Linked DNA regions of Stegostoma tigrinum. The protein of the gene in region 2 interacts with the protein of the main gene of each other region in a pairwise test. Links are inferred from orthologs where the notes say so. Each region holds a gene or a part of one and is shown on either strand. Other genes may lie near its edges. The genes, in order: transcription factor SOX-30-like and cfap206.

Region 1 (15,967 bases), on a different chromosome or scaffold from region 2:
GTCATTCCATTATGCAGTATCACATCTCAAAGAATTATAAAAAAGTTACTCAATCTTTTTTACCATATATAGCGTACCCACAAAAATAAAAATCAGATCAAGGGTCAAATTTTAAATCAAAATTATTTAAAGACAGTTATGGATAGCTTGGGAATAATACAATTTAAATCAACTGCTTACCTTCCAAAATCACAAAGAGGATTGGAATGATGACATCAGACTTTAAAGACCATGTTGAGGGTTTGTAGTCAAAACTATCCAGCGGATTGGAATAAAGGAATTCCATTTGTACTTTTTATAATTAGGGATGCATCTAATGAATCAACTAAATTCAGTCCATCTGAAATAGTTTTCAAACTTGAGGTGAGGGGGCCACTGAATTTAATTAAAGAAAAATTGGTCTGTCAGAGTTCAGAGACTTGTGGTTTAGCCAGCTCACTTACTCTATTTACTGTTTCCAAATATTCAAATAATAAATAGAGTGGATGAGTTGGCTAGTTAGCATTGGAAAGTAACACAGCATGTAATGAAACAGGAAGCAGACAAGAAATCAAAAATTTGTAGTTTTGCTCGAAGAGATAAACTGTTAGTATTACTACCAGCAGTAGGTGAACCTTTACAAACAAGGTTTAGTGGGCCTTATCAAATCAAACTGAAATTGAGTGAGGTGATTTATTTGGTAATAATACCAGATAGAATGAAATCTCACAGAGTGTGTCATGTGAATATACTCAAACAGTATTTTAATAGGAAGAAAAATAAATGGAGATGTGGTATTTGTTACAATATGGAGTGAAAAACCAAATCCAGATAAATTTGAATTTGATATTCCTCAAATTAGATTGGATAATGAGTAACTTCTCAAAAATTGGGATAAGGTATTGAGTTACCTTCTAAAAGAAAATCAAAATGACCTACAAGAGTTATTACAATCAAATGGAGAGATATGTGGGATTAAGCTGGGAAGTACTAATCTAATTGTGCTGATGTAGGTATAGGAAATGCTGTTCCAATTAAGCAACATCATTACAGACTTAACCCCCTGAAATTGACACAGGTTCAAAAAGAGATTGAAAGCATGCTCAAAGGCAATGTTATTGAAGTGAGGTTCAGTGAATGGAGCTTACCCATAGTGGTGGTGTCAAAACCAGATGAACAGAATAGAATAGAATTATAATTTATAGCCACATGTATTTTTACAAAAAAAGTGAAAAGATTCATAAGTCACCATACTATGGGACCTAAATTAATGACAGATGTCTTAAGTAAGAAGAAAGGAAAATAAAAGTTCACCATAGCTCAATTAACAGCTCCTGGGTTTGGGGTACCCTGGAAACCTAGGCTTAAACCACCACACAGGACCAGGCTGAGACTGCCATGCCAGGCCGAGGCCACACCAAAATGAGACCTACCAATTGGATGACCTCCATGCTGATTTGCTGGAAAACCCAGAAGCTGCCTCCAAAGCAAGGACGAGATCTCCATACCAAAATAAGACCCCTGCGCTGGGATCTGTCTTTCATGCCGGGCTGCTTGAACACCTGGAAGCTGCCAAAAAAGACCCCCATACATGGACAAGATTGTCATGCCAAGCCGATACCATCCTTCCTGAACAAGACTGCCACACCAGGAGACCACCACACTGAGAAACCACCCCCCCCCCCCCCCCAGGTGCATTCCAGGCCACTGGAAGACACCACATCACCAGTCCAAGGCCAGGAAAAGATGCCTTAGAGCAAATTCATTAAAAGAAAGTAAAATAATTAATGGAAACATTTAAACAAAAGCATAGAAAGAGGGAAAAAAATGTATTGCAGACAGTGTAGGTGAACTCCAGGCAAGTTGTAGAAGAATCCCCATGTTGCACTGCTACTCCATTGCCATTTTGGTGAGAGTACCCAAACTCTCTGTAATGATTACTGCATAGTTAATGCAGTTCCAAAATCTGATTCATGTCATATTCTACAGCTGAAAGATTGTATTGACAAGGTGGGACAAACAACTTATATTTCTAAGTTGGACTTATTCAAAGGATACCGATTACCTGATTGAGCAAAGGAAATTTTAGCTTTAGCGATACTAAATGGACTTTATCAGTTTAAAGTTATGCTGGTTTAGAGGGCTATAGGCGAAATGCTGATAAATGACACTAGATCAGTTTAGGATTTCTAGTCAGCGTGGATGATTTGGATCGAAGGGTCTGTTTCAATGCTGTACAATTCCATGACTCATTTACAATGAAAAATGCACCAGCTACATTTCAAAGACTAACCAATAAAATCATTTCGGGTTACCCAACTGTGTGGTGTACATAGATGATCTGGTGTTTGTTAGTCACACATGGAAGCAACATTTGGAGTATCAATCAGAATTGTTTAATCAACTACAGAAGGCGGGTCAGGTGATAAACCTGGCTAAGAGCAAGTTCACAAAAGCCTAAGACATCTTAGGCCATATCATTGGACATGGACAGATGGCCCCCCAGGATATGAAAACAAATGTTATTGGGGTGTTTCCCATACCATCAACAAAGAGGAAAGTACTACGATTCCTGGAACCGAATGGTTTTTATTAAAAATCAACACCAAATTTTAGCAGAGTGGTTGCTCAATTGATTGGCTTGCTGATGAAGTGCAGAAAATTTCAGCGGATGGAGGAATGTCAAAAGACATTAGAGAGTCTGAAAGCTGTGTTAACTGCTGCTCCACTGTTAGCCACAGCTAATTATACAAAGCCATTCAAGGTGGTTATCAATGTGAGTGATGTGGGTTTCAGTGCTGTTCTCTTGTGAGAAGACGACAACAAGATATAAAGATGTATCGGTATTTTTTGAGATAGTTAAATATTGATCAACAGAAATATTCCAAAACTGAGAAAGAGATCCTGAGTTTGGTGTTGGCGTTGCAACATTTCAACATTTATGTTGCCAGTAATATCTAAAACAATTGTACATTTTTGAAAAAAGTTTAAAGATAAACATACCAGACTATTTAGGATTTCTAGTCAGGTGGAGTTTATTGTTACTGTCATCTAATTTGAAAAATATACACATGGCAGGACAAGAGAACATAATTGCTGACATGTTGTCGTAATGTTGATTTCAGAAGACAAAGGTGTTCGATTGTGGATGAAACTTACTGAAATAGACTATAGTATTGAATGTTTACATGCTTAGTGTCAATATAATATGTATGCATATTAATAAGACTAAAGGTTTTTTCAAATGAAGCCATCTTTATGTATTTTGTTCTTTTTTTTAAGAGAGGTTTTGAGCCATTGGTGATGGGCTGTCTATTCAAAGCCAATAAAGTAAACAGCTTGTGAGGGCTTGGGTTTGTTTTTACGTTGGAACAACAGAAACAGCTTGAATGGATGGAGTCAGGCTCCCACAGAGCCAGGGTTTTAGTTTAGCTTTCAATAGTTGTTGGGGTTTTGAAACTGCCATACATCTCGCCCGGCTATGGAAAAATGCTTGAGTTCTTTCTCTCTGCCAGAATTTTCTCTTGATGTTCCTTTCTCCCGGACTGGAGAAGGATTACATGTGAGAAAATCTGTTTTTTTTCTGAATTTGCCTTTGCCAAGGGTGTATCTATGGGATATTATTATATTGGAACAGTTGCTGATTAATAATTTAAAAACCTATTATTCTGTTAAATTTTCCACTCAAGTTAAAGGTTCACTTATTCGTCTTTCGTTGTTTATACTTTAGCCATATAGGTTAAGGATAACGTGTTTTGCTTAAAGCTTCGTGTACCTATTCAAATTAAATCTGGAACACAACACCTTATACTTACATTTAAATAGGATAAAAGTTAGGGTCTAGGCTATCTCCTTGATATATTTGAAAGTGGTTTGTTCTGGTTTACCTGATCTACCATTCTACTTTTTTCAACCTTGGTAGTGCTCTCCACCATGGACATGACCTTTCACTTATCTTCATGAAAGTATAACTACCAGTATGATGTGATACCTGGAAGTCATCTCTTTGTAAATGGCCGGTGCTGCGAACCCAGCTCTGTTACGCCCTCTTGTAGCTAGTGATGAGCTTTATACCATGAGCAGAGTATTTGTATCCGATCAAATGTTACTTTTGGTGGCTCCTGTAACATCAGAATAAATTTTCCAGCCAAGAGGTTTCTATAGTTAAGTTAACAGTGCCCACTTACTTTAATTGAATCATTTAGGCTGCTTATGTTATTTTCTAATGAGGAAGCAAGCTGATATCATTCTTGTAAAAGCGCTATGGAACTAATGACTTGATAGATTTTTAAATAGAAAGAAGATAAGGCTGCCTCCATGGTATTCTGTTTGCAGATGAGTACTCACATAAGCTTGTTGCTGTCAGTCTTTGCTTTAAGACCAGGGCTGTGTAATCTTCAGTGGAGTTTCCAAGATACTGCAGACAGAATTCTGGATCCTTTTACAAGTGGGTACTGAAGCTCAACACCAGGCTACTACCAAGATGCTGCATTATGTGATATTAGAGTCATTTCTCTATGAACAGCCACCACTGTTCACCTACATCTGTTCTGTCCTCATGTTCTGTTATGGTTTGTGATATGCTTTTTACGTTCAGTGAGATACCTGATGAGGTGATAATTATATTAGGCTCTGTAACATAAGAATGAGATATGGATAACATAATACTGAATGATTCAATAACCTTTCGTTACAGCTGCTGGTATTTACATATGCTACAATCTTGTGTGGGCGGGCTACAGCTAAGCAATTTGAATGTCAATTGTAGCACACTTCCCTCAGCATGTCATGCTGAAAAGGGCCTCAATAAGATGAAGAGTGAGGTCTTTATACCATGAGGTCTCATGGCATTACACAACAATCCTATCATGAGCATGTGCCTTAAGTATATATTGTATACTAACTATAAGACATAACACAACAGATAGAACAGATGTGCAACTTCAAAAAGATAACTGAATGGCTTATGGAATAAGTTTTATGTGATTGAACATGAGACAATATACATTAGAGAATGTGAAATGAATCATTTAATTTGGTTTTATTGACAAACTATCAGAAGAGAACTACTTGGATGTTATTGCTACACATTTTCTGCAATGCTGAGCAGTTAACAGTAGGATAAGAAAGTCGAATTATCTTAACTTTAGAGTGACTAAGATCAGTATTAGCATTTTACACGTAGGGCGTGCTGCCTTCAAATGGAATTGATATACTACGAAGAGATCAGAGAAGAGTAACAAGGATGAATGCAGTTGCAGAACTTTTTTAATTGGAGAAGACTGATCATGTACAGCCCTACAAAATGTTAAGTTTGAATAATATAGATGTAAAAAGGCAGTGTGAGCACAAAACTGGACCTGCAACTACTAAGCTAAATTAGAGGACCTTCTCCAACAGAACAGTGGATGTGGGACAGATTCCATTAAAAAAATGTATCCAATGTATGGACAGAACTGGATTTTTTGACGTTTTCCTTGAGTGAATAGAGGTCAGGGAGAGATTTTGCCAGAGAACATTCCCTGAAGTAAATAAATACATATCATGGTACCTGCACTAGAATGGATTGCACAAGGATTTTGGGGGAAAAAAAGCATTAATGGCCTGAAGGGCCTTTTCTCATTTCATGCTTTCTTATTTACAGATTACATTTGCACCTATCTGTTGGACTTTGGGAGAAATCTTTACTGGAGATACCCTCCACAGGATCATTTTCAGGATGAGTGGCACATCGGCTAGAGTGCCACTGGAAGGTTTCCCACATTTACCTGAAGGTAACCTTCAGCTGATTCTGCAGAGATATAAATGGCAACACCTTGACATGATATAGAAGAGAACTACTGGATTTTCACAATATCATTTGGTTCACCTGCTAAGACAACCACCCTTTGTGATAATGCAAAAAAAATTGGAGTCCACGGTTTCAATATTTGTGCTTCAGCCTATGCAACAACATTCACTATTTAGCTATCCTATGGCATATTGGGATTGCATTCTTTTATCTTCATACTCTCGGATTATGGTGGAGCATTGAAAGTACAACATCAGTTGTTCATTACGTTCTTCTATATCAATCCTATGGACGATACCTCCATTTGAGAGATTTTATCTTGGTACTCTTGTTTAAACTGAATAATCTGCTCCTCATTGTGCTTTGATGCTCAGATTTCAACAATTCAGTTAGCCACATTAGCTCCAGGAGACACCTACAGTTATTCATTCAAGATCACAGCAGCATCTTGTTTCATTAACCATGAGGAAGTGAAGGAATCCTTAATACAAGTATAGGAGGCAAGGTGTTGCTTAATTCACATTGGAATATATATTAACTGCAAACTATAATAGCTATACCAAGAATTGATCATTCGTATGAACATGCACAATTAATTACAAAGTAAATCTTCGTGGACCAATAGTATTTGTCTCTGTTTAGTTGCTACAGCTTGTCTTGTAAAGGACACTATATTGTGTACGACAACAATAATTAAAATTGTAAAGTTTTGGAATCTAGTCGAATAAAATGGCAATTCTAGAATTAGTAGAGATATATCTCACAAAGCTGAGGGTTTCTTTTCATTTGATCATGTAAATACATTTCATTTGGATACATGAATACTTGATATTGTGGCTTTTTAAGAAAGCTGGATAAAATGGGACAGATCATTCTTATGGATCAAGTTTTGGTGCCTATAAGTAAACACAATGATCAATGGCTTAGATTGTAAAAACTTTTGCTGGGGGCGTTGTGGGTAGAACTTTGATTTCTGAAAAGAATCTTGTCTTAGTATCACTTATCATCAATTATTACCTGTATGAAGTGAAGGAAAATAACAATGATTACTTTACTTTTTGAGACTTGAAGTTAGAAATTTAGAATATTGACTGTTAATTGAAGATCTTACTTTCTCTACTACAAAGAATCCCCCTTTTGTTTAAACATTTTGTACCAGCAAAATTCAATGGAAAGCCTTGACCAGATGCTTTTATCTCCAAAGAAACTAGAAACAAAAATCTTTTCCTTTTACATATGTCAACATATATCACAGTACCTTGCTGGGAATATTTAATACAGATGCTAATTCAGTTGCAATTTTAAGAGGATTTGGAGGAAGGTGAGGGAGCCAGAGGATATGTAGAGATAACCCATAATCAGGCAGAATGGCACAGAACAAAAACAGAAGTTGCTGGAAAAACTCAGTAGGTCTGGCAGCATCCTTCCTCAGAACAGTCACCAGACTCAAAATGTTAACTCTGATTTTACTTCACAGAGCTGCCATGTACAGTTCAAAACAATGGGCTTAATTTTAACCTATTCAAAGCCTATGTGCTTGTGCTAAGGTTAAATCAGGTCCAAAGCATTACAACATTGACTGGGAGCAACATCTGTATTTTCAATGAATAGAATCAATTCAGCAATTGCCCAGGAGAGAAAAGAATAAGATAAGTTGACTTTTGAGCATAGCGATGAAAGGCTTGCATTGTTAAAGCTGCAGAAATATATTCTCTGAACACAATTCTTCATCTTAATAAAGAAAATAAAGGGCAAAGGAGTTAGAACTATTGTTGTATCTGTGGATAAATAACTGTATTTGTATAAATACAAATGCCAATAGGTTTTATATCAAAATAACCTCCAAAAAAGTTCCACATTTCGGCTTTTTTTATATTCGTGAACTCCACTATTTCTCCACTTCCCGATGCAGGAGTAAATAGAAATTCTCCTTGGCAAACACAGTGCTTCAGAACAGTTGACATATTTCAACAAATTATTCACACTGACTGATATGATTTGAATTGAATTTAGATTAGTAAGGCAGTGACTGCATATAATCTTTTGCAAATCACGACAGTCCAAACCACAACTATGGTGCTCATTGACATTGGTTTTCTGTATTGTACTGCGTGTTGATGATGCTGCCAGTCAATGTTGTAAAGCTTTAGTCCTGGTTTAGTCTTTGCACAAGTGCATGAGTTTTGTTAAAACTAAGCCTGTTGTTTTGAATTGTATATGGTGTGTAGCACAATATTTTAAGAAGTACTTCATGCATCCAAGTTGAAATTAGCCTTACATGCATCTGGAATAGCATATTCAGTCCCTTTCCCAGTGCTAGACCACCTTCTTTTCATTAATGAGATGAAGGCATTTACTAGCTGGGTCAGCATTTTCTGCCCATTCCTAATTTCCCTTGAGAAGGTGGTGGTGAGCTGCCCTTGAGAACCACTGCAGTCTGTGAGATAAAGAGACATCAGAATTTTGATCCAGTAACAATGAATGAACAATGATATAGTTCCAAATCAGGATGGTATGTGCATTGGTTCAGCAGCTATTTTTTTGTTGATTTGTATAGTGTGTCTAGTACTATGTTTGACCTCTCATGTTCTTTCCCTTTTCTCCCCTCCTCTTCTGAAGATAGAGATTCATAGAAGAGTATTCTTCCAAAGCTACCATCAGCTCTCCAGAACATTTTGCTTACAAATGAGTACAAAACAATCTGTGCTTAAAACTATTTAACAGACAGACATGCCAGGAAATAAAATCTAATTGGATTTGATTTTGACTCTGCCCAATGTATGTGTACTTCCCAGCTAGTGTCACTCAAAATTTAAAATTGGGAATTCTGGTCTTTTCCTTGTATCTCCATCCCTAACTCACGGAGATTGTGATCAGTATGATTCACCCCAATTAAGATCAGTTAACTCAATACAAAAACATCTCTATATTCTGTTCTGTATTGGTACAGTACAACACCAAGCAGAAACTTTACATAATGAGAAATCAAGGAGCTCTATAAGCCTGTTGATTATCATTCGTTAACAAAAAATTGTTCAAGGTAGAATATAGTGAAATTTACCAATATTTTCAGTTACTTAAGACAGACAATGTAAGAGACTACTCTGCTAATTCATACAATATTGGACCAAATTATGACCTAACCCACCAGAGGCAAACTAGTTTCACTCAGGATGGACACAGACTTTACACCTTGCATGATTTTACTCACCATTAATTTAATTGTTGCTTAGGAGTACTCCTATAACACGTAGCAGATATTTTCTGATCACAAGGCAGAAAAGTTGTTGATAAAAGTCAACCATGCTGGCACAGTTGGAACAAAATTAAAAGAGTTACCAATGTTGGCATTTCTCAACTTGACTAGCATAACAGGCATACTCGGTCACTGAATACACTGTTCCATCAACCCATCATAGCTGGTCACCATAGTTGTCTTTCTATCTTAAGCTCAACTGATGACTGTTGACAAAGTGTTGATCAATAGCTTCAAGAAAAATTTGAATAAATTTCTGAGTAGGAACAGAATTAAGTCTTAGCTGTTCAGATAGCAGCAAAGCTAGTGTGAAAACAACACAATGAAGCAAACTTGTCAAAGATGATTGATTTACTTTGTTCATTTACAGAAGGTTGGCATCAAAACTGGCCTTTCTTGTCCATCCCTTGAAAACATGGTGCTGGGCCACTTTCTTGACAATTGGTGGGCTAGATGCTGGAGGAAAACTGTCCTAAATGCTAGGAGCAAGTCCACCTCCACTTAGTGAACTCACCCAACTTTAATTTTTCAGAAAATTACACTTTAATTACTACAAGGTGTGGATGTGGACATTGGGGCGCATATTGGAAAGAACAGTAAAGGAGAATAAATCTGGCAAGGTAAAAAAGGTCTCTAATTGGCCTCAGACTGAGGCACTTCCCTTTCACTGACTTGTGACAGACGGTGTGTAACTTGCTTGGCTACACATGGGGCACAGGCCTCTCCCATTGCCTCTATATTGACATTCCAATGGGGAAGATGAAGCCTATTGTCAAGCATTAATTGCCACTTAAGAGCCTCAATTGAGCCATGGGAGAGCATTCCACCCAATGTAAAATTCAACTCTATGTGACTTGCTGGACAATTTCCAAAAACAGTTAAGATTTATTCAAATTGCTGAGCCACTTCCAGATCAGACTAAGTAAGACTGTAAGAATATTAGATTTTTTTAAAACAAAAGACATTAATGAACCAAATGTCACCATTATCATTATCACTGTTATTGATGCTAGCTTTCTGTTCATACCTCAGCAATTAATATTTATATGGTGCTTTGGTGCCATGATTAAAATTGGGAATGGACTAGGCAGCAGATTTAGATGATCATATATATTCAGAGGGTTGGAAGGAGAAGGTTGCATAGACGATGAAAAAACAAGGCCATTGAGAGATTTGAAACAGGAAATAGAATTGAAATCAAAACTTCACTTAATCTGGAGGATTAGTGAACATAGGTGTGATAAATGAATGGAACTTGGAGGTTTTTGCAGATTTGGATGATCTCATGTTTATGATGGATACTGTGTGGGAAATCAGCCAGGAGGACATTGGACTAATCAATCTAAAAGATGCATGAAAATGTAATTAGCTGCATTTAAGTTTCCATGTTGCCAGATGGCATTTGAACTCATGATTCTGAATTGTTAGAACAGGCCTTTGTATTTATTAATCCTGTAACATAACCACATGTCACAGTTCCCAATGTAGGGATAGATGTAGCATTATATAGTTATTTGCTTGATTAGCCTTTGGTTTGAGAAATTTATGAAATTAAAGGGAATAAAAAGCCCCAAAAAACACATTTATTATTAGAAATTGTTCTCTTACCTAATTTGTAACTTTGATTTCTTGAATACATTAGCTGTATTGAGGCATTCAGAGTTGAACCTCCGTCGTTGGAAACCCCTTGAGTCATACCATGTTTGAGAAACATCCCTGGACAGCCGCACTGATGTTAATGCATCATTGAACAAGGAGGTGGAGAAGCAGTAGCTTGAAAGCCTTTATCTTTCCTGTTGAATTTTCTTTTACAGTGGTCTTCGCATAAATGGAAGCAAAAGCAGCAAGTAATGTTGAAAGTGGCACATATTGATCCTTGCCATTACTTGCTTTATTAGGCTATGTCCTAACCTTCTTTATGATTTTATTTGTCTTTATGTTGCCTTACTTGTGAGATTAATTGTCTGTTTAATACTCTTCTATAATGCCTTCTTAACTCCGTAACTACCAAAAACAAATTTAAAAATTACATTCTTACAGATTTTGCTTTTGCTGGCATGAAATTCATGTGCAAACATTGATCATGTGTCTCAACAAGGATTTCACCTATGGATCACATTCTGAATCTCATTCATAACAAAGCATCCATCCACGTGCTGTTTCTGTCAGGAGTCACCAAATAGATTGGGTGGTAGCATTCTGGCTTTTTATTCCTCATTGTAGATCTGTGGCTTTGATATCAATCTCCACATCTCACTGCTTTCTTGAACTCTCACTCTGTGGATTTAGGATGGAACCTCAGAATATCTAGTTTCTATAGAATCGTTTCACAATACATGTTGACCCTTTTAATTAATTGAGTCAACAAGGAGCTCAAATATTAAACTAATTATCGCATTCCTTATTTTCTCTTTAATATGACATAATTTTACATTTGTTTTTCAGAGTGAAAATAAGTTTGTTTCAGGGTTAAACTCAAGAAAAGACTTTGGTGATCAAAATATTCCTGGCCAACATGTGAATGAAAAGATAAAATTGGAAGATGATGAGCATTATAAACCTTCTAATTCCAACAGAGGAACTCAACAGACTAAAGATTTATTGTTCTTGAAGGATCTGAATGGGACTGATGGGACGCAACATAGTGATTTGAAACTGCCTATAACTTTACACCCACTTCCACCTGGAATCAAACTTCAACTTCAAGGATCATCTTCCACATGTGATGTGGTCAAATTTGCCAAATTATCTGGACCACTAGCATCAAACAATCTGAGTGACATCAGGCTACAGACACAAGTGGATCCATCCTTGAAAATAAATACTATAAATGTTCCCCTTACCGTTCCTCCTACAGAAGCAGGTACCCTTTTGTATATCCTTATTGTTAATGGATAATGTCTTCTTTGAATTTTATTTGAATGCAGTGTATTCTTGAGGGATATTTTTAACATCAAAATGAACATTTTGCTAACCAGCCACAATCTTAATCATAAATGTTCATAAATCATACACATTTTGTGTGGAGTACTGCAATGTCAAAATGTGAGAGTAGCATGTTGCTGCTTGTCCTGGGTTGAGGAGTTGATACTTATTGTTTTAAAATATGTGAGCAATGATGATTGTGAGGAACTTTTTAATGGCATTTTTTTCCTATTGTAGCAAACTGTTAATTTTCAGGATGACAGCTGTAACACATGCATGTTGAAAGCTTAGTAAATATTCATGAGAGAGTGGATGTTTGAAGAACACTAACATTTTGGAGAACTAAAACAAATTATAGGCTGATTAATTAAATGTATTAACAGATATTTCCTGCAGCAGTTTTTCTGCCACCTCTTGTTCTCTTGATATTCCTCTCTTCAAGACAAAATCTGCTTTTGGGTTATTGTTCCGAGGCTGTCAGTAGCACCTAATTGAAGTGGCCAATCTTCAAGTGCAAACGTTGGAAATACATGATTAGGATAAATCAGAACCAAGTTTTCACCGAACTCTACAGTTTCGCATTTTCAGAAATGGTTTATCCTAAACTTCCTCATGCAAATTCTGAAGCCACTCTACTTCCACGTTTAATCCATATCTGTGATCAATTGTTTGCACAGACCAGAATTAAACCAAGATTTTCAAGTTCACTTAGTACCTTATTGGCTAAATCCAACACTTACATATATTGATTACACTTATTGATTAACCAAGCACCTGTTATGCAGATGAGCACCTCAGAATATTTAAGAGATTCCAGACCAAGCTAATTGAGTTCTGTCCATCTGTTGAGCAGTGCAGTACGCGCACTCTCATCAAGAGTATATTCCACTTTCTTTAACATTGGGATACTACTATAATTTAAAAAGTTAGCAGGTTTCAAGTTCAGAACATCCAGCATAGACTGTCCAAACATTAGGAAGACTATTTATACAGTTTGGAAGTATGGTAGCAATTTGAACCCTTAGTGACATGGGTTTCTATTTATGAGCCTGGTTAGGTTAACCATCAACAGTGCCCTATAATCCTACCAGCTTCTATATCTCAGAAACTGGGTTAGTTTTCTACAGTGGCTTCACTTAGTTCCAAGCTCCTGTTAGGGTCAATCTTATCTTGGAAACAACCGGGCCTCCTTCTCCTGACAGGACAACAATCATGCAGAAGGCTAAACAGTCAACCAGTGCAATCTTTGTGAATTTGCTGAGTGGACAAAGGCTTCTCAGGGCTGCAGTTAATAGCTCAGACTTTGCTGCCAGCAACAAAGGGACGGCTCTGGCTGTTGATCACACTGAAAGTTGCCGACAGAATTTTTTGTGGAGATGTGCTGTAACCTAGTGCCTCTGCAGTGCAATTATGAGCAAAACAGAAAAAAATAGTGGAGCATTCTAACCAATCTGTTTGAAGATTTTTGACTGATGCACGCAGGGCCAGACTTCTGTGGAGTCAAGAAAATACTTCAAATTTGTAAAAATGGCATGCATAACCTGCATGGAAAGTCCCCTCCCCATTTCTGACATCCAATTATTGCTAGTACAGGAAAGGGGTGAGCCATGATTCACATAGTCAGCAAATCCAAATTAATCAGTGATTTAAACTCATCCTGATATGACGTTGTTGAAGAAATATAAATGTAATAAGTAGGTTTTTATGAAGGAGAGTGTTTTTTTTTCATTAGAGTGAAGTCTACAATAGACTTTGAGAACTTTATGGAAACTTATCTTACTATATGCCTGCATAGGCGCTGACATTTGTCAAAAGTGGCTACCAGGTGAAATGGCATACTAGATGTGAGGTCAACAGATGGTAAATGGAGATCATGGGTTGGCATTAATTAGCACAATATTGGCATAGGGATGTATGAGCAGGTACACTGCCACAAATTGGTGTGGAGGATATCAGACCCATGAATGTGGTCAAAGAGGCATGAGCTGGCATGGGAATAAGGTGGTGTGGCGTGGAGATGTGGAGTGGGGTTGGCATGGATGAGGCATGGGGAATGCTTGTGGAGAAAAAGTATGAGGGGTGAGACTGGTGGGCTACTTAATATTCCCTTTCTTTCTGAAACTTCATACAATGATGTTATGCCAAAGTAGGCCTTCTGCCCAGCATACCCTCTCCTCTGTGCCTAGCAGCCTCAGCACCAAAAATACGCTCTCCAGAAAGGTTCACACGGCTGGGCATGCTTGCAACTTTGTACACCCAACACACAACAAAAATCTAATGCTTTCAGGATTTTTAAGGCTTTTTCAATAAAACTCTTTAACATACTACATTACTCCAATGATTTTTTTTCAACCATCTGTACAGTTACTCCCTTTGTTCTGGCTTTAGAAATCAATGATATGCCACCCTCCAAAGACAGAAGTGGGCATATAAAACGGCCAATGAATGCATTTATGGTTTGGGCTCGAATTCACAGACCATCATTAGCCAAGGCAAACCCCAATGCGAATAATGCTGAAATTAGTGTCCAACTTGGCCTGGAGTGGAACAAGCTGACAGAAGAACAGAAGAAACCCTACTATGATGAAGCACAAAAAATAAAAGAGAAACACAGGGAAGAATTTCCTGGTGAGTTAAAAGCTAGTTAGAATACGTAGATTTTTTTTAACGTGAAGTAAAGATGAAGTCTTGGATAATAACAGGGGAGGATTAGACAGTTGTGGGACGAGTGGGAGTATAGTTTTTGAAACACCAAAGCTTGCATCTTTTATGCTTAACAGATTCCTGACTCAGAAGTCACTTATTGACAGGTTTGCCTTTCACGCCTTGTGGGTTGAACACAGCAATAGGCTCTCAGAATAAAAACTTTAGGTCTGGCTCCCAATGCTCAGAATACAGTGGAGATGGTCTGCTTCAAGGAAGTAATCCAAATCCCAATTCTATGGACCTTTCTATGGGAGAGAAGGGAAATTGATGGACCCAGGGTTGGGGGAAGCATTCTGCTCTTCCTGACCCACAAGATGTGCTATAAATGCACTTTTCTGCATCATGTTCCTATCTTCCTTTCGCTACCAGGATTGCAAGGTCTGCCAGCTTTAATGTAATTTAATTTGCCTCTTCACCTCCTGGAATCAGATCTGCCACCTGTTTTTTGTCCTGGCTCAGTTGAAACTGGAAATAGATGTATCAATTTGTTATATTTTCTTACACAACTGTATCTTATACAACTCTATTCCACCCATTTTTAGTGTTAAAATTCAACTTGAAAAGTTAACACTGAAACAGAAAGCAAATTTATGAGTCATATTTTTCATGAAAATATTCCTCTAATGTCTATGTAAAAATATTGTTAGAAACTTACGAACTTCTATTACTTAGAGAAATTCAACTGTCATAATGCAGTGAAGAATCTCAATAATTTTCCAGGTGGTATCATCATTTAGCATTATCTCTACTATACTTTTGCCACTTTTAAGTGTCTGTATTTTTTTGTGTTAAAAAATTTTCTCAGTAAATTCACTTTTGAGTGAGAAAACATGGATCCTTTGCTTCACCATAAATACTGTGAAAGAGACTATCGGAGATAGCAGAAACTGCAGATGCTGGAGAATCTGAGGTTACAAGGTGTAGAGCTGGGTGAACATAGCAGGCCAAGCAACATCAGATGAGCAAGAAAGATGACTTTTGCAGCCTAGACCCTAGGCCTGCTGTGTTCATCCAGCTCTACACTTTGTTATCCAAGAGACTGTCGGGTTCCCTCTGATGTCCTGGCACAGGAAACAATGCATTGGTACTTAAAGGTTAGAGGTTTGAACTATGAATCAATCTTTGTACCTACATCTGAGGCTGAAGTTGCAGCCCAGTTTTGAGGAAGTGCTTCCCAGTTCTGGCACCTTAAGAAAGTTCATTGTGTTAAAGGTGCTATACACATGTACATTCTTGTTGTAAGCCACCCTCTGATGAAACATTAAAGGGAGCTCCTGTCAACCTTTCCCTGTGGATATTAAAAACGTGTT
Region 2 (15,949 bases):
GAAGGATCTAGGCCCGAAATGTCAGCTTTTGTGCTCCTGAGATGCTGCTTGGCCTGCTGTGTTCATCCAGCCTCACATTTTATTATCAGTGATCTTGATCAGATCGGCTAATGGACCAAGGAGAAGCAGATGACGTTTAATTTATATAAATGTGAGGTGTTCCATTTTAGAAAGGCAAATCAGGGCAGGACTTATACACTTAATGATAAGGTATGAGGGCGTGTTGCTGAACAAAGAGATTGTGGAGTGCAGGTTCACAGTTCCTTGAAAGTGGAGTTGCGGGTAGGCAGGATAATGAAAAAGGCATTCGGTATGCTTGCCTTTTTTGGTCAGTGCATTGAGTACAGGAGTTGGGAGGTCATGTTGCAGCTTTCCAGGACATTGGTGAGGCCACTTTTGGAATACTGCATGCAATTCTGGTTTCCCTCCTATCGGAAGAATGTTGTGAAACTTGAAAGGGTTCAGAAAAGATTTATGAAAATGCTGCCAGACTTGGAGTGTTTGAGCTATAGGGACAGGCTGGCTAGGCTCAGGCTATTTTCCCTGGAGCGTTGGAAACTGAGGGGGATGTTATAGAGGTTATGAAATCATGAACGGCATGGATGGGGTAAATAGGCAAGGTCTTTTCCCTGAGCTGACAGATTCCAAAACTAGAGGACATAGGTTGAAGGTGAGAGGGGAAAGATATAAAAGGGACCCAAGGGGCAACTTTTTCATACAGATGGTGGTGTGTGTATAGAATGAGCTGCCAGAGGAAGTGATGGAGGCTGGTACAATTACAACATTTAAAAGACATTTGGATGGGTATATGAATTGGAAGTGTTTTTATACGTATATGGGCCAAATGTAGGCAAATGGGACTAAATTTATATAGGATATCTGGCTGACATGGACAATTTGGACCAAAGAGTCTGTTTCCATGCTGAATATCTCTGTGACTCTATAAGAGTCAGCTCCTGTATTCCTGCTACCAAAATGTATAAAATTTCTGAAAATATTTCCACATTACACTCTATCTTCCGAGCTTTTGTCCACTTGCTTGACATCTCTATATCCCTCTGCAGACACTTGTTATGGCTCTGCAGATTCATCCTCACCACTTGCCTTCCCAATTATTTTTACATCATCTGCAGACTTGCCTGTAGCATGTTTACCTTCATTATCCAGTTATTAATATATATTGCAAATTCAGTGTTGCCACACTGAAAATGTCTCCTTTATCTCAACGCCTGTCTTTTTTTGGTTAGCCAGTCTCTGTGCTAATACATTTCTTCCAACACAATGGTCTCTTTTCTTGTTAAATATCATTTACCTTATCTTTTCAAATAGTGTTATCTTTGCAAATGCCTTTTGAAAATTCATATATATATATTACATCCACTGCTTCCCCTTTATCTGTCCTCCTTGTCACACCCTCAAAAAATTTGAAGAAATTTGTAAGATATAATTTCCCCTGTATGAAGCCATGCTTGATTGTGATACACATTCCTAAATGTTCTACGATTACATCCTTTATAGACTATTCCAATGTTTTCCCCATAACATACATTAAGCTCACTGGCCAAAATTTACCTGCTTTTTGTCTTCATCCCTTTATAAACAAAGGTGCTACAGTGGCCGTTTTCTAATCCTGTGACATTTTTCCAAGATAACAGAGCATTGACTATATCCCCAGCTATTTCTTTTGAAACCTAGGACACATCTCTTCAGATCCAGGAGACTTAACCGTTTTTAGTTCCATTAGTTTCCCCAGCACTTTGTTAAAATCTAGTGATAGCTATTGTATTTAATGGTGATGTGTGAACACAACTTTTCACAAGTCATATTTTGAACAGGTTAATTGGTGTTTAAGAATGCATGAACCTGACTGTCCGACATTGATAAAAGGCACAAAAAAAGGCAGATTAGAAAATATCTACTTACCCATTCAGGTATGGTGCAGTGGGTGAGTGAAGTCTAAACATTTAAAGATTTTGCCCTAGTAATATGAAAACTAAATAATTGTTCAGACTGGGGCAAGGAAAAGTATGGACCAATCTGTTGCTTTTGCTGGTAAAATACTTCCCACTGCAGAAAAGGGCCAGGTATATTTTGGAGTGGAAGATGGGAGTGAAAGACCCACTCTAAATCAGTGAAGATTGCTCCAAGCACATTACTGCTGTGGGACAGTTGGCTTTTGAGTTGACAGCCTCATCCTCTTCACTCAGGGGCTGAATAGGTTTTTGCATGACATGTAGCCCATTGAACCTGACACACAAGGGTCTTTCTCACATCAAACAAACTACATAAGGAGATGCAACTCTTCAAGTGCTATAGGATGTTGCAATGAAGAGATGTTCTGAAACCATCAAGGTTGCTATAAAAGAGTATTGGATACACAGAGATAAGGTGATAACCCAAAATGGCCAAGAAACAACACACAAAGAAACAAGAGATGAGGCAGGATACATGAAACACATCCAGGCAAGCCATCAAGGAACTGAGTCCATCTTGAGGAAGGCAAGAGAGCGCTCAAATAGTCAAACATAAACAATGAGATTAACAACCATAACAGCCAGTGTAGCACTTGTAACAAATATCAAGCTGAGCAAACTAGAGAACTTCCCCTGGATGAAGCTTGTCATAGATTATTTTGTTGTTTCAGGAACAGAATATTTCATCACAAATGACGATTCAGATTGCTGAGCAGTTGACCTCAATGATCACCAGTCAGACTATAGAAAGCCTGAAAGCACACTTCCGACATTATGGCCTTCCTGAAACTCTGAAATTTCAAACAACATCAGCCCTCATAGAAACATAGAAGATAGAAGCAGGAGTAGACCATTGAGCCCCTCGAGCCTGCTCCACTACTCAACATGATTGGGATGGATCATTGAGCTCAATATCTTGACCCCTCTCTTCTCAAATCCCTTGAGCCCTTTAGCCACAACAGTCATATATACCTCCTTCTTGAAAACACATAATGTTTATGAGGTTATCTGTATTCATGAATAGTTAGGAGATTCTGCACTACACATCATTTTTTTTATTCATTCATGGGATGAGGACATTACTGGCTAGACTAGCATTTATTGCCCATCCTTAATTGCCCCGAGAACAATTAAAAGTCAATCACATTGCTGTGGGCCATTGTGGACCTGGAGTCACATGTTGGCCACAAAAGACTAAGACAAAGGAGCAGAAATTAGGCCATTCAGCCCATTGAGTCTGCTCCATCGTTCAATCATGCTGATAATTTCTCAATCTTAGTCTCCTGTTTTCTCCTCATAACATTTGATCCCCTTGACAATCAAGAATATATCTATCTCTATCTTAAATGTGCTCAATGACCTGACCTCTGCAGCCTTCTGTGGCAACGAAATCCATAGGTTCACCACTCTCTAGCTGAAGAAATTTCTCTTCATCTCTGTTCTAAAGGGTCTTCTCTTTGCTCTAAAGCTTTGCCCTTGGATCCTAGTCTCTCCTACCAATGGAAAATCCTCCCAACATCCACTCTGTCCAGACCATTCAGTATTCTGTAAGTTTCAATTCGATCTGCTCCTCATTCTTTTAAATTCCATCGGGTATGGTCCCAGAGTCTTCAAATGATCCTCATATATTAAGACTTTCATTCCTGGGATCATTCTCGTGACCCTCCTTTAAACCTGCTCCAGGGCCAGTACATCCTTCCTGAGGTATTGGGCCCAAAATTGCTCATAATCCTCTAAATGTGGTCTGACCAGAGCTTTATATGGCCTCAGAAGTACATCCCTGCTTTTATAGCCAAGGCCTCTCAAACTAAATGTCGAAGTTGCAATTGCCTTCCTAACTACTGAATCAACCTGCAAGGTTATCTGAACAGAATCCTGGACTTTGTACCTCAGATGTCTGAATTTTCTCCCCATTTAGAAAACAGCCTATGCCTCTATCAGGTAAGGGTGACTGTTTCCTTCCCTAAAGGTCATAATTGAATGAGATGGGTTTTTCTAGACAATTGGCAATGATTTCATGGCCATCAGTGGACTATTATTTCCAGATTTTTATTGAATTCAAATTCAATTAAAAATCTGCCTTGCTAATTACACTATGCCATCACATCCCCATGTACCTTCCTAAGTCCAATCGAAAGGTTGAGACAGCAGTGAAAATTGACAACAGCATCATCTAAAATGATGAAATTCAGCATTGGAGTGAACAAGGCAATCTTATCAGCAAGGGATAAATCAAATTCTTGCTACTAATGCTATTAGAAAAAGAGGGAGTCAGGGCCACTTTGAGCCCCTTGAAAGCTGATAACAATGAAATCGTTGCTGAAAATAATGTAATGGCAGACCTATTGAATAATTACTTTACAAGAGTATATTTACAATAGATGAAGATGTTAGCATGCTAAAGAAACTAATGCTATTCATGGACAGGAACTAATAAAATGAACACAAGCAAAATAATAGGACTAGAGAAACACAACTCCTTGAGGCAAGGAAAGTAGTCCAACCCAGTGACTAATATCACTCTGCACCTACACGACTTTTCAAAAACAAAAATCTACTGAACCAATTCCTAGTAACAGAATTGAGTGACAAGATCAATGTGAAATGGCAGAACGCCAAATTCCAATTTGAAAACGCAGCCAAATTACTGCCAGATCTGAGCTAGTCAGAGTACCAACATTTAACACTCTCAACATGTTTCAGCCCACTTAACAATTTGGGGACCTGTATAAAGCAGTTATAGAACATAGAACAGTACAGCACATACAGGCCCTTCAGCCATGATGTTATGCCTATCTATTATCTGACTGAGATCAATCTACCCTACATACCCTACATTTTACTATCCTCCATGTGCCTATCCAAGAGTCGCTTAGAAGTCTCTAAAGTAACAGACTCCACTACCACTGCTGGTAGCATATTCCACACACTCACCACTCTCTGTGTAAAGAACCTACCTCTGACATCTCCCTTATGCCTACCTCCAATCGCCTTAAAATTATGCCCCCTCGTAACAGTCATTTCCACCCTGGGAAAAATTCTCTGGCTATCTACTCTATCTATGCCTCTCATCCTCTTGTAAACCTCTATCAAGTCACCTCTCATTCTTCTTCGCTCCAATGAAAAAAGCCCTAGCTCCCTCAACCTTTCCTCATAAGATCTGCCCTCCAATTCAGGCAGCATCCTGGTAAATCTCTTCTGCACCCTCTCTAAGGCTTCCATATCTTTCCTGTAATGAGGTGACCGGAACTAAATACAATATTCCAAGTGTGGTCTAACCAGAGTTTTATGGAGCTGCAGCATAACCTCATGGCTCTCAAACTCAATTCCCCTGCCAATGAAAGCCAACACACCATTTGCCATCTTTACAACCCGATCAACTTGGGTCGCAACTTTGAGAGATCTATGGACGTGGACCCCGAGATCCCTTTGTTCCTCCACACTGCCAAGAATCCTGCCATTAACCCTGTATTCTGCATTCAAATTCGACCTTCTAAAATGAATCGCTTCACACTTTTCCGGGTTGAACTCCATCTGCCACTTCTTTGCCCAGCTCTGCATCCTGTCAATGTCCCGTTGCAACCTACAACAGCCATCCATGCTGTCCACAACTCCACCAAGCTTCCTGTCATCAACAAACTTACTAAGCCAATCCTCCACTTCCTCAACCAAGTCATTTATAAAGATCACAAATTATTAGTTATTGCCTAGATTATACATAGTGAAAGTGAACAGCAAGAGGTAGCATCGCAACCGTAGGCGTATACATGAAACCGGAGAAACTCTCATTCACAGCAGACTGCTGGTAAGGCAGGTTTAATTTTGCAAACAAGGAACTGAACAATCATCAATCCCAGAAGTCAAATATTTCCCAATAAAAGCAACAGATCAGCAGCAACAAATAGCACCACACAACAGAGTATTGCGACAGCATGACTCAGAAAAGCAATGTCAATCCAGGAACCAGGAGACACCAGACGAACAGACAACAAAGAATCCGGTGCATATAATTAGAAAAACTGAACATTATGCATGAAATACATGTGTAGGGGCAGGTGAAATTGAAAGAACATGTAGATATTTCTTGATGCAAGAGATTATTCACGATAGATTATGTATGTTGAGTAACCTGCAATTTATGGAGCATATAAAAGTTTTTCTTGTAAAGGAAAGGGGGATGAATGAACAAATATCTTTGTATACTTTGGCTGAAATATTAGAGTAGCCTCTGATGTAATTCATGTAAATACAGTACTCATTTTATACTCCAGATTCATACACTATGCACAGCTTACTCAGCTCTGGCTGTTTCTGCAGTATACCGGACTGCACACCAAGACTTTGCAAGCTGTGCACCTTTCTGGTTGAAGACGAGATGAGGTGAGATACTTGTACAATATTGTGATCTGTACTGCTCGTCCTTAATCAATGGGAAGGTAGTGAGGACAACATCGATCGAGGCAGACTGTGAGCCCAGTGTGGTGCTTCGTTGGGGACTGGGACTGCCCAGTTTGAAAATTCATGTGTTCTACAGAATATCAGAGTATGCGCTCCTCACCAGGCTTGCGATAGCATAGATAGCAAAGTGTGAAGCTGGATGAACACAGCAGGCCAAGCAGCATCTTGGGAGCACAAAAGCTGACGTTTCAGGCCTAGACCCTTCATCCCCACCCTACCTCCCCACCCATACTCTCCTCTCCACCTATCTTCTCCATAATCCATCTTCTATCTGCCTCCCCCCTCTCCCTATTTATTTCAGAATCCTCTCCCCATCCCCCTTTTCTGATGAAGGGTCTAGGCCCGAAACGTCAGCTTTTGTGCTCCTGAGATGCCGCTTGGCCTGCTGTGTTCATCCAGCTCCACACTTTGTTATCCTGGATTCTCCAGCATCTGCAGTTCCCATTATCTCTTGCAATAGCATAGTTACGTTTTTTCTGGATTATGAAGTTCGATTTTTTTCCCAATGCTCCTGTCCCAAACGGTAAGTAACAATTGCTGTAATGAAGAACGTATTCACTTCAGTAAAACGCAAATAACTCATCAGAGTACCAATCTTACTGCACTCACCATGAACGCTACAAGAGTCTCAGAAATGGAGTGTCCTCTATCAGCGCACTCCTGGGCTATTTCCCGAATGATATTCTTAATCACACATTCAGCCTGGGTGTAAGCCATCCTGCAGGTTTCAAACAGGGGGAAAAAAGACGTGAGGATTTAGATAATGGAAACATCAAGAGGAGGACACACATTAACAGCAGTTTGTTCAGATCAGCCCTTCACAACCTGCTTTACAAACGGTCACATTCAGCTGACAAAGTTCCGAGCTCTTGATCCTTTCCTGGGTGGATGTTACTCTCCGTTTCCCTCCTCCTGTTGTTTCGTGTAACGATCCCGTTACCCTGGAGACAGACATCAACCGACCAGCCTGATTGGTTGACGTCAATCCCCTGACGTTCTTACGCACGTGGTCACGGTGGCGATATTCGATGAAAGATGTTGCATTGTGTTTTCAGCATAGCTGCAAAACGTTGACTCGGATTTCTCTGCACGGATGCTGCCAGACCTGCTGAGCTTTTCCAGCAATCTCTATTTCTGAGATAATGGGAACTGCAGATGCTGGAGATTCCAAGATAATAAAATGTGAGGCTGGATGAACACAGCAGGCCAAACAGCATCTCAGGAGCACAAAAGCTGACGTTTCGGGCCTAGACCCTTCATCAGAGAGGGGGATGGGGGGAGGGAACTGGAATAAATAGGGAGAGAGGGGGAGGCGGACCGAAGATGGAGAGTAAAGAAGATAGGTGGAGAGGGTGTAGGTGGGGAGGTAGGGAGGGGATAGGTCAGTCCAGGGAAGACGGACAGGTCAAGGAGGTGGGATGAGGTTAGTAGGTAGCTGGGGGTGCGGCTTGGGGTGGGAGGAAGGGATGGGTGAGAGGGAGAACCGGTTAGGGAGGCAGAGACAGGTTGGACTGGTTTTGGGATGCAGTGGGTGGGGGGGAAGAGCTGGGCTGGTTGTGTGGTGCAGTGGGGGGAGGGGATGAACTGGGCTGGTTTAGGCATGCAGTGGGGGAAGGGGAGATTTTGAAACTGGTGAAGTCCACATTGATACCATATGGCTGCAGGGTTCCCAGGCGGAATATGAGTTGCTGTTCCTGCAACCTTCGGGTGGCATCATTGTGGCAGTGCAGGAGGCCCATGATGGACATGTCATCAAGAGAATGGGAGGGGGAGTGGAAATGGTTTGCGACTGGGAGGTGCAGTTGTTTGTTGCGAACTGAGCGGAGGTGTTCTGCAAAGCGGTCCCCAAGCCTCCGCTTGGTTTCCCCAATGTAGAGAAAGCCGCACCGGGTACAGTGGATGCAGTATACCACATTGGCAGATGTGCAGGTGAACCTCTGCTTAATGTGGAATGTCATCTTGGGGCCTGGGATGGGGGTGAGGGAGGAGGTGTGGGGACAAGTGTAGCATTTCCTGCGGTTGCAGGGGAAGGTGCCGGGTGTGGTGGGGTTGGAGGGCAGTGTGGAGCGAACAAGGGAGTCACGGAGAGAGTGGTCTCTCTGGAAAGCAGACAGGGGTGGGGATGGAAAAATGTCTAGGGTGCACCTACACAGGCCCCAAACCCCACCTCTTCCTCCGGTACATTGATGACTGTATCGGCGCCGCCTCTTGCTCCCCAGAGGAGCTCGAACAGTTCATCCACTTCACCAACACCTTCCACCCCAACCTTCAGTTCACCTGGGCCATCTCCAGCACATCCCTCACCTTCCTGGACCTCTCAGTCTCCATCTCAGGCAACCAGCTTGTAACTGATGTCCATTTCAAGCCCACCGACTCCCACAGCTACCTAGAATACACCTCCTCCCACCCACCCTCCTGCAAAAATTCCATCCCCTATTCCCAATTCCTCCGCCTCCGCCGCATCTGCTCCCACGATAAGACATTCCACTCCCGCACATCCCAGATGTCCAAGTTCTTTAAGGACCGCAACTTCCCCCCCACGGTGATTGAGAACGCCCTTGACCGCGTCTCCCGCATTTCCCGCGACACATCCCTCACACCCCGCCCCCGCCACAACCGCCCCAAGAGGATCCCCCTCGTTCTCACACACCACCCTACCAACCTCCGGATACAACGCATTATCCTCCGACACTTCCGCCATTTACAATCCGACCCCACCACCCAAGACATTTTTCCATCCCCACCCCTGTCTGCTTTCCGGAGAGACCACTCTCTCCGTGACTCCCTTGTTCGCTCCACACTGCCCTCCAACCCCACCACACCCGGCACCTTCCCCTGCAACCGCAGGAAATGCTACACTTGTCCCCACACCTCCTCCCTCACCCCCATCCCAGGCCCCAAGATGACATTCCACATTAAGCAGAGGTTCACCTGCACATCTGCCAATGTGGTATACTGTATCCACTGTACCCGGTGCGGCTTTCTCTACATTGGGGAAACCAAGCGGAGGCTTGGGGACCGCTTTGCAGAACACCTCCGCTCAGTTCGCAACAAACAACTGCACCTCCCAGTCGCAAACCATTTCCACTCCCCCTCCCATTCTCTTGATGACATGTCCATCATGGGCCTCCTGCACTGCCACAATGATGCCACCCGAAGGTTGCAGGAACAGCAACTCATATTCCGCCTGGGAACCCTGCAGCCATATGGTATCAATGTGGACTTCACCAGTTTCAAAATCTCCCCTTCCCCCACTGCATCCCTAAACCAGCCCAGTTCATCCCCTCCCCCCACTGCACCACACAACCAGCCCAGCTCTTCCCCCCCACCCACTGCATCCCTAAACCAGTCCAACCTGTCTCTGCCTCCCTAACCGGTTCTTCCTCTCACCCATCCCTTCCTCCCACCCCAAGCCGCACCCCCAGCTACCTACTAACCTCATCCCACCTCCTTGACCTGTCCGTCTTCCCTGGACTGACCTATCCCCTCCCTACCTCCCCACCTACACCCTCTCCACCTATCTTCTTTACTCTCCATCTTCGGTCCGCCTCCCCCTCTCTCCCTATTTATTCCAGTTCCCTCCCCCCATCCCCCTCTCTGATGAAGGGTCTAGGCCCGAAACGTCAGCTTTTGTGCTCCTGAGATGCTGTTTGGCCTGCTGTGTTCATCCAGCCTCACATTTTATTATCTTGGAATCTCTATTTCTGTTTCGGTTTAGCCGCACTTGGCTCCGACTAGACACCACTAGATAGATCTCCAGAGAGCCAGAGGCCAAGTGCCCACGATGGTCATCCAGCTGATAGCAACAAAATAAGAAACCAGTCTGCAGTGGGCTAAACTGCCTGCCCTCTTTCAAAGTTGGTTAATTGGAAGAAATATTCTGCCTGGAGTTCATACCTGTGACAGAGCTGACTTAATGGAAGATGTGAAAAATCTAGCTTGCAAATATAAAGGGATGCAGATGGATCAGTGAACAGGAGACTTTTTGAAGCAGATAAACCTTCCCAGTGGCTGAGTGAAGCTAGTTTACAGAGTGCACTGACCTGGATGCTCAATTTTTCTTACCCAAACAGGATTAGCTGCAGAAGTGCTATCTTTAGTTTATTTGTGCCAAATGGGCATTGCTGGATGGGCCAGCATTTATTGCCCATCCCTAATTTCCTTTTTAGAAGATGATTGTGAGCAACTTTCTTGAACTGCTGCAGTGCATGTTCTGTATTTAGACTCACAATGCTGTTAGGGAGGGAGTTCCAGGATTTTGACCCAGCAACAGTGAGAGAACAGTGACATATATCTAAGTCAAGTTGGTGAATGGCTTGGAGGGGAACTTGCAAATGGTGGTCTTCCCATGTATCAGCTGCTTTGGCCTTCTAGGTGGTAATGACTATGAGTTTGGACCATGACTCGAAGGATCCTGGTGAATTTCTGAGCTGCATTTATACACTACATATAATACATGGTATACACTGCTGTTATTGAGCGTCAGTGGTGGAGCAAGTGGACGTTTGTGGATATCCATCAGGAAGTGGTCAACACATGGCATTTTTGAGACCCTGCAGGAAAAGGAGGGGATGGATCCTGTCAGGTTGTTTCCTGAGAAGACTATTAAAGTCATTTCACAGAATGTCTCATCACCAGAACTCTCCAACATGCACCATGACAATGCTTGGCTGGTGGTGAGAAGGGTACTACCTATGAGATCCTTCATGTACGCCCAGACTCTGTGCACCACTGCATGCTGCCCTCGAGGTTGCTGTGGGACAGACAGTTTAGTCACTGTCACACACCTCCTGAAATGTACCTTTGCAAAGGAAGATGCCATGGTTTTTGATTGAGGTTTATCCTGAGCAGCTCCATGACAGGATTCTGTGCTCTACGGTCTGTTCCCCAAGATGCACACAAAAACAAACATTGACTGCGCCTAGAGGACCATCAATGCAGTGAAAGGCTCTCTTTGGTCTGCCTGAAAGTTGCTGGTCTTCCAGAGAAGGAGTTGACCTCGACCATGTGTTGCACGCTGATACATTCCAAGGTCCAGGTTTGCATGCTGAGGGATGCACTAAAGCTTGGGGCACTGGCTACCAAGGTACAGTGGAGAAAGACCACTGACTAAGGTCTTTCTGCCAAAGTTAATTGGGGGCCTGTTCAGTTTATCATACTTTCCTGGTTCTTCAAATGTATGTCAATGTAGTCTCGTACAAATAAGAGATGCCTTTGGAGTTTGATCCACCTTGGCATCCTCCTGAAATATCTAACTATGTCTTGTCCTCAAAAAATAGATCAAATCCATCCCATCCAGTTAACAACTCACCAGTCTACTCTCAAAGTGATGGAGGATGTATTGAAAGTGCTACAAAGTGGCATTTACACAGAAATAATCTGCTCTCAGATCCTCCGTTTGAGTTGCATCAAGGCCACTGCTGATCTTACTGTAGTCTTGGTGCAAACATGGATCAAGTTAGAGTGACTGCTATTGATACTGAGGCAGAATTTTACCAAGTATGTCATCAACAATAGTTAATTTACTAAGAATCAGGGTAAAACTCTTCAACAGTTGGATTCATAGCCCATATAAACAAAGATGGCAGTATTTGATGGGGCAAATCATCTCAGTCTCAGACATCTGTCCAGGGTTTCTTAAGGTACTGTGCAAAGCTCAACCATCTTCAGTTGCTTCTTCTATGTCCTCCATCTTAAAGGTAAGAAGTGGGAACATTTGCTGATGACTGCACAATATTCAACGTAATTATGACTCCTTAGACAATCCAGCTGAAGGTGTCCATGTACAGCAAGACTTGGACTGATAAGTGGGGAGTAACATGCATTCCACACAAGTGGGAGGCAATTGACCATCAACAACATCTAATCATCATTTTCCTGAGTTTTATATTGGTGGAAGGGATAATATTTTAAGAAAACTTTATAAACATTGCCCAGTTAAACAAGAATATTGCAACAATGAGTCCACACAGGTATCACTAAAAGCAATGTTTAATTTAAAAAATACTTTTATTTAGAACAAAAGATAAAATTGTGCATTGTACAATACTTCAGTCTTATTTCAGATTGTGGTACAATCTAATATTTTACAATTTTAAGAGGACAAAAATACAAAAGGTCCTGCTCATTATGCTTTGCTCACCAGTGATATGTTTGATTATTTGCACAAAAATGTAACAGTATATTATCTCAAGAATTAAAACCATCAACACTACTGTGACTTATGAAATTGTGATAAACACAAATAGAAAAAGATGTTGATTTCTACAAATGAATGATAATGGTAGTTATTCTTCCCTGCAGATCACATCTGTGTGTGTATTTATAGTAGGTACTGGTGGACCTTGCTACTGCTGACTTTGCTTACGGTAAATTGAAGGATATACTGACTTACAATGACAGAATATATTAGAGAGGTTCATCTCCAGTACTATTTTCCTGAACAACTAAAATCTCCTTACATAATTCATTTCTCTGGCTAAATTAGATAGTTACCAATTTTTTAACTTGCGTGTATTTTCCCTTTCATCAGATTGTCTGTTCCACCTTCGCCTTAAAGAGACCTACTGATTTTACATGGCTCTTGTGTATGTTCCTTTAATGACAATCTACTCAATTTCAGCATCTCATCAAATTGCTTTAGCCACACATACAGACCTGAATGAGAAAGGATAGTTGAGGAATATAATTGTGTATTTTGTAGCAGTTCTTTGTTCCCGATTCCCAGGGAATCAGTAACTAAAGCGACTGGATTTGTTCATAGTAATACTATCAGTCAAATATTTGAGCACATTAGTGTGGTCAACTGAACAGGAAAGATATTGCTTCAAAAGAGTAACATATTACCAAAGCTTTTGTCTTGCATTCATTGGGACAAATATGAGAAGGCTAAATTTCAAGCAATCTCAACAATTCAAATTGCAGGAGAAATAGGTAAGTTGATCCAGTTTGCCAACTAATCAGCACCCTTTTCTCCTGTCACATAAATGACTATGATTGTTTAAAATGTGTTATTTTTACAGTTGGCCTGCTGAGTGCAAGATGAAAAGCTTTGCAAAGTGTGAAGACTTGCACTTGGGCAAGAAGAATCAAAAGGCATCTTAAATGGTGAAACATTCCAAAAAAAGTGCAGAATGGCTGTTTTGTGCATGATACACAAAAAAACCATGCAGGTGCAGCAAATGGGATTTAGGTCTCCATTGCTAGAGGGTTGGAGTTTATGAACAGGGAAGTCTTGTTACAAATGTATAGGGCATTGGTGTGACTGCATCCAGAAGAAGGTGCACAATTTTGCTTCCTGCATTTAAGAACTGGAATTGGAGAGTGTTCAAAAGAGGCTGACTAGGCTGATTCCTGTGAGGTCGGAGTTGACTTATCAAGATCAGTGAAATAGGTTAGGTTTTTATTCATTAGCACTTAGTAGAATGAGAGATGATCTTAAATGAAATAAGCAAGATTCTGTGGGAAATTGAAAGGGAAGATAGAAATCATTTCTGCAAGCATAGGAAGTTTGAACTAGGAGTAACATTTATAGAATAAGGGAACACTCATTTAAAATTGAGATGTGAAGGTTTTTCTTCTCGCAGGGGGCTGTAGTGAATGCCTGGAACTCTCCATCTCCTCTTCCCCCACCGCATCCCAAAACCAGCCCAGTTCGTCCCCTCCCCCCACTGCACCAGACAACCAGCCCAGCTCTTCCCCTCCACCCACAGCATCCCAAAACCAGTCCAACCTGTCTCTGCCTCCCTAACCTGTTCTTCCTCTCACCCATCCCTTACTCCCACCCCAAGCCGCACCTCCATCTCCTACCTACTAACCTCATCCCACCTCCTTGACCTGTCCGTCTTCCCTGGACTGACCTATCCCCTCCCTACCTCCCCACCTATACTCTCCTCTCCACCTATCTTCTTTTGTCTCCATCTTTGGTCTGCCTCCCCCTCTCTCCCTGTTTATTCCAGAACCCTCACCCCATCCCCCTCTCTGATGAAGGGTCTAGGCCCGAAACGTCAGCTTTTGTGCTCCTGAGATGCTGCTGGGCCTGCTGTGTTCATCCAGCCTCACATTTCAATATCTTGGATTCTCCAGCATCTGCAGTTCCCATTATCACTCTCCATACTACAATGTTGTGGAGGCTGCATCACAAATTATTTATAGAGGAAGTAGATACATTTTTGAAATATCAGAGTTGACAGCTCTGAGAAGCTGCTATTTAAATGGAGTTGAGACACGGGGAATGATCTTAGAATGGCAAGTTAGCCTTGAGGGGCCAAATGTTTTACTTCTTATATTCCTAACATGTTGCTCTGTTCGGCAGTACTCAGGTTCTGCACTAAAAAGATGACTAAAATCATTTAAGCCAGTCAGAAAAATGTGCCATCTTTGCTGAAAGCAATACATCAAACTATTACATTTAAAAATATAAACATATAGACGTGATTGGCAAAGAACTAGTTCCCAGTGATTGCATTTCCTTCAGAGTTACCATGTTGATAACAGACTGGAATTTAACAAAACGTAAACCTGTTTCCAACACTGGTGATTCAACAGTTCCATTTCAAGTAGATCTCTTGGCAAATTTGATTCACATTTAACAGGATTTAAATGCAATACTGACATAAAAGCAAACAAAATTGAAATGCTGCAACAAGAATTGTAATAAAAAGCATTTCCCAAAATTATGGTCATTGTAACAGTCACATTGCTGTTTGTAATTGTTTTCAAAGGAGTATTAATTTCATCCTTTCAATGGCACATAAAATACATTCCTAAAATTGCCTAAGGGGTGTTTCTCTTAGAAGCAGCTAGTAGATTAAGGTAAAGTTACAAAGAATTACAGTACAAAGTTTCAAGGCAATTTATACGAGATAAAACATGTTATGAAATCAATGTCCCAGAAAAGGCCCTGTGATGGTATCATCCCTGATCTTAAAAATCAATAAAAAACTTTAATTTTTTTTTAGAAAAAGTGTTTTCACTTACGACTGGCCTCTAAAAGAGAGCCATTCTTTTGCACAGAACTGAATTCATGGCACTATCTCAATGCTCCTAAATTAACCAGTGATTGTATCCCAGGCAAGGATATATAATCAATGCAGAAAATATTTTAAAATTGTTTGTCATACTATTCAAAATCTGGGACCAATTTGAATGGACAATTGTCTGTGTATTCATGTTTTTAAAAATTATTTACTACACAGAACAGCTCAAGTTCATTCCCATGTAGAGATAGATTGTTCAAAACATACATTTTCTTCTTAATCACTAAATATTTCTTACAAATTACTAAAGATATTTAGCTCAGTTAATATCAAGTTGCTCCTTTGCCCTTTCAAGAAGGCAGATGAGTAGCTTGCATTGTAGTGTTCCAGCAACGTTCAGATGGCAGTCCAAATTTGGTTAAAATATTTAATTTTCTTCTGCTTCCATCTCTTCCGTTAACATAGATAATGTCAACAGTTCCAAATTCAGCATCTTCCCCTGCCCTCTCACCCTCATCCACAAGTACAACATTAACATTT

What was found.
Region 1: the proteins of cfap206 (region 2) and transcription factor SOX-30-like interact in binary tests that used the Homo sapiens proteins (3 or more experiments, as listed by UniProt). The two-hybrid records come from large-scale screens. The link is inferred for Stegostoma tigrinum from reciprocal best matches to the Homo sapiens genes CFAP206 and SOX30.

The regions. Positions count from the first base shown.
Region 1 is NC_081366.1:70,471,488-70,487,454, forward strand, and holds the start of transcription factor SOX-30-like, read left to right. Parts: upstream 1-9,589; coding exon 9,590-9,646; intron 9,647-11,471; coding exon 11,472-11,889; intron 11,890-14,339; coding exon 14,340-14,579; intron 14,580-15,967. UniProt on the Homo sapiens protein: Acts both as a transcriptional activator and a repressor. Binds to the DNA sequence 5'-ACAAT-3' and shows a preference for guanine residues surrounding this core motif. Binds to its own promoter and activates its own transcription.
Region 2 is NC_081357.1:39,377,280-39,393,228, reverse strand, and holds the start of cfap206 (cilia- and flagella-associated protein 206), read right to left. Parts: upstream 7,604-15,949; 5' UTR 7,257-7,603; intron 7,150-7,256; 5' UTR 7,149-7,149; coding exon 7,041-7,148; intron 1-7,040. UniProt on the Homo sapiens protein: Essential for sperm motility and is involved in the regulation of the beating frequency of motile cilia on the epithelial cells of the respiratory tract. Required for the establishment of radial spokes in sperm flagella.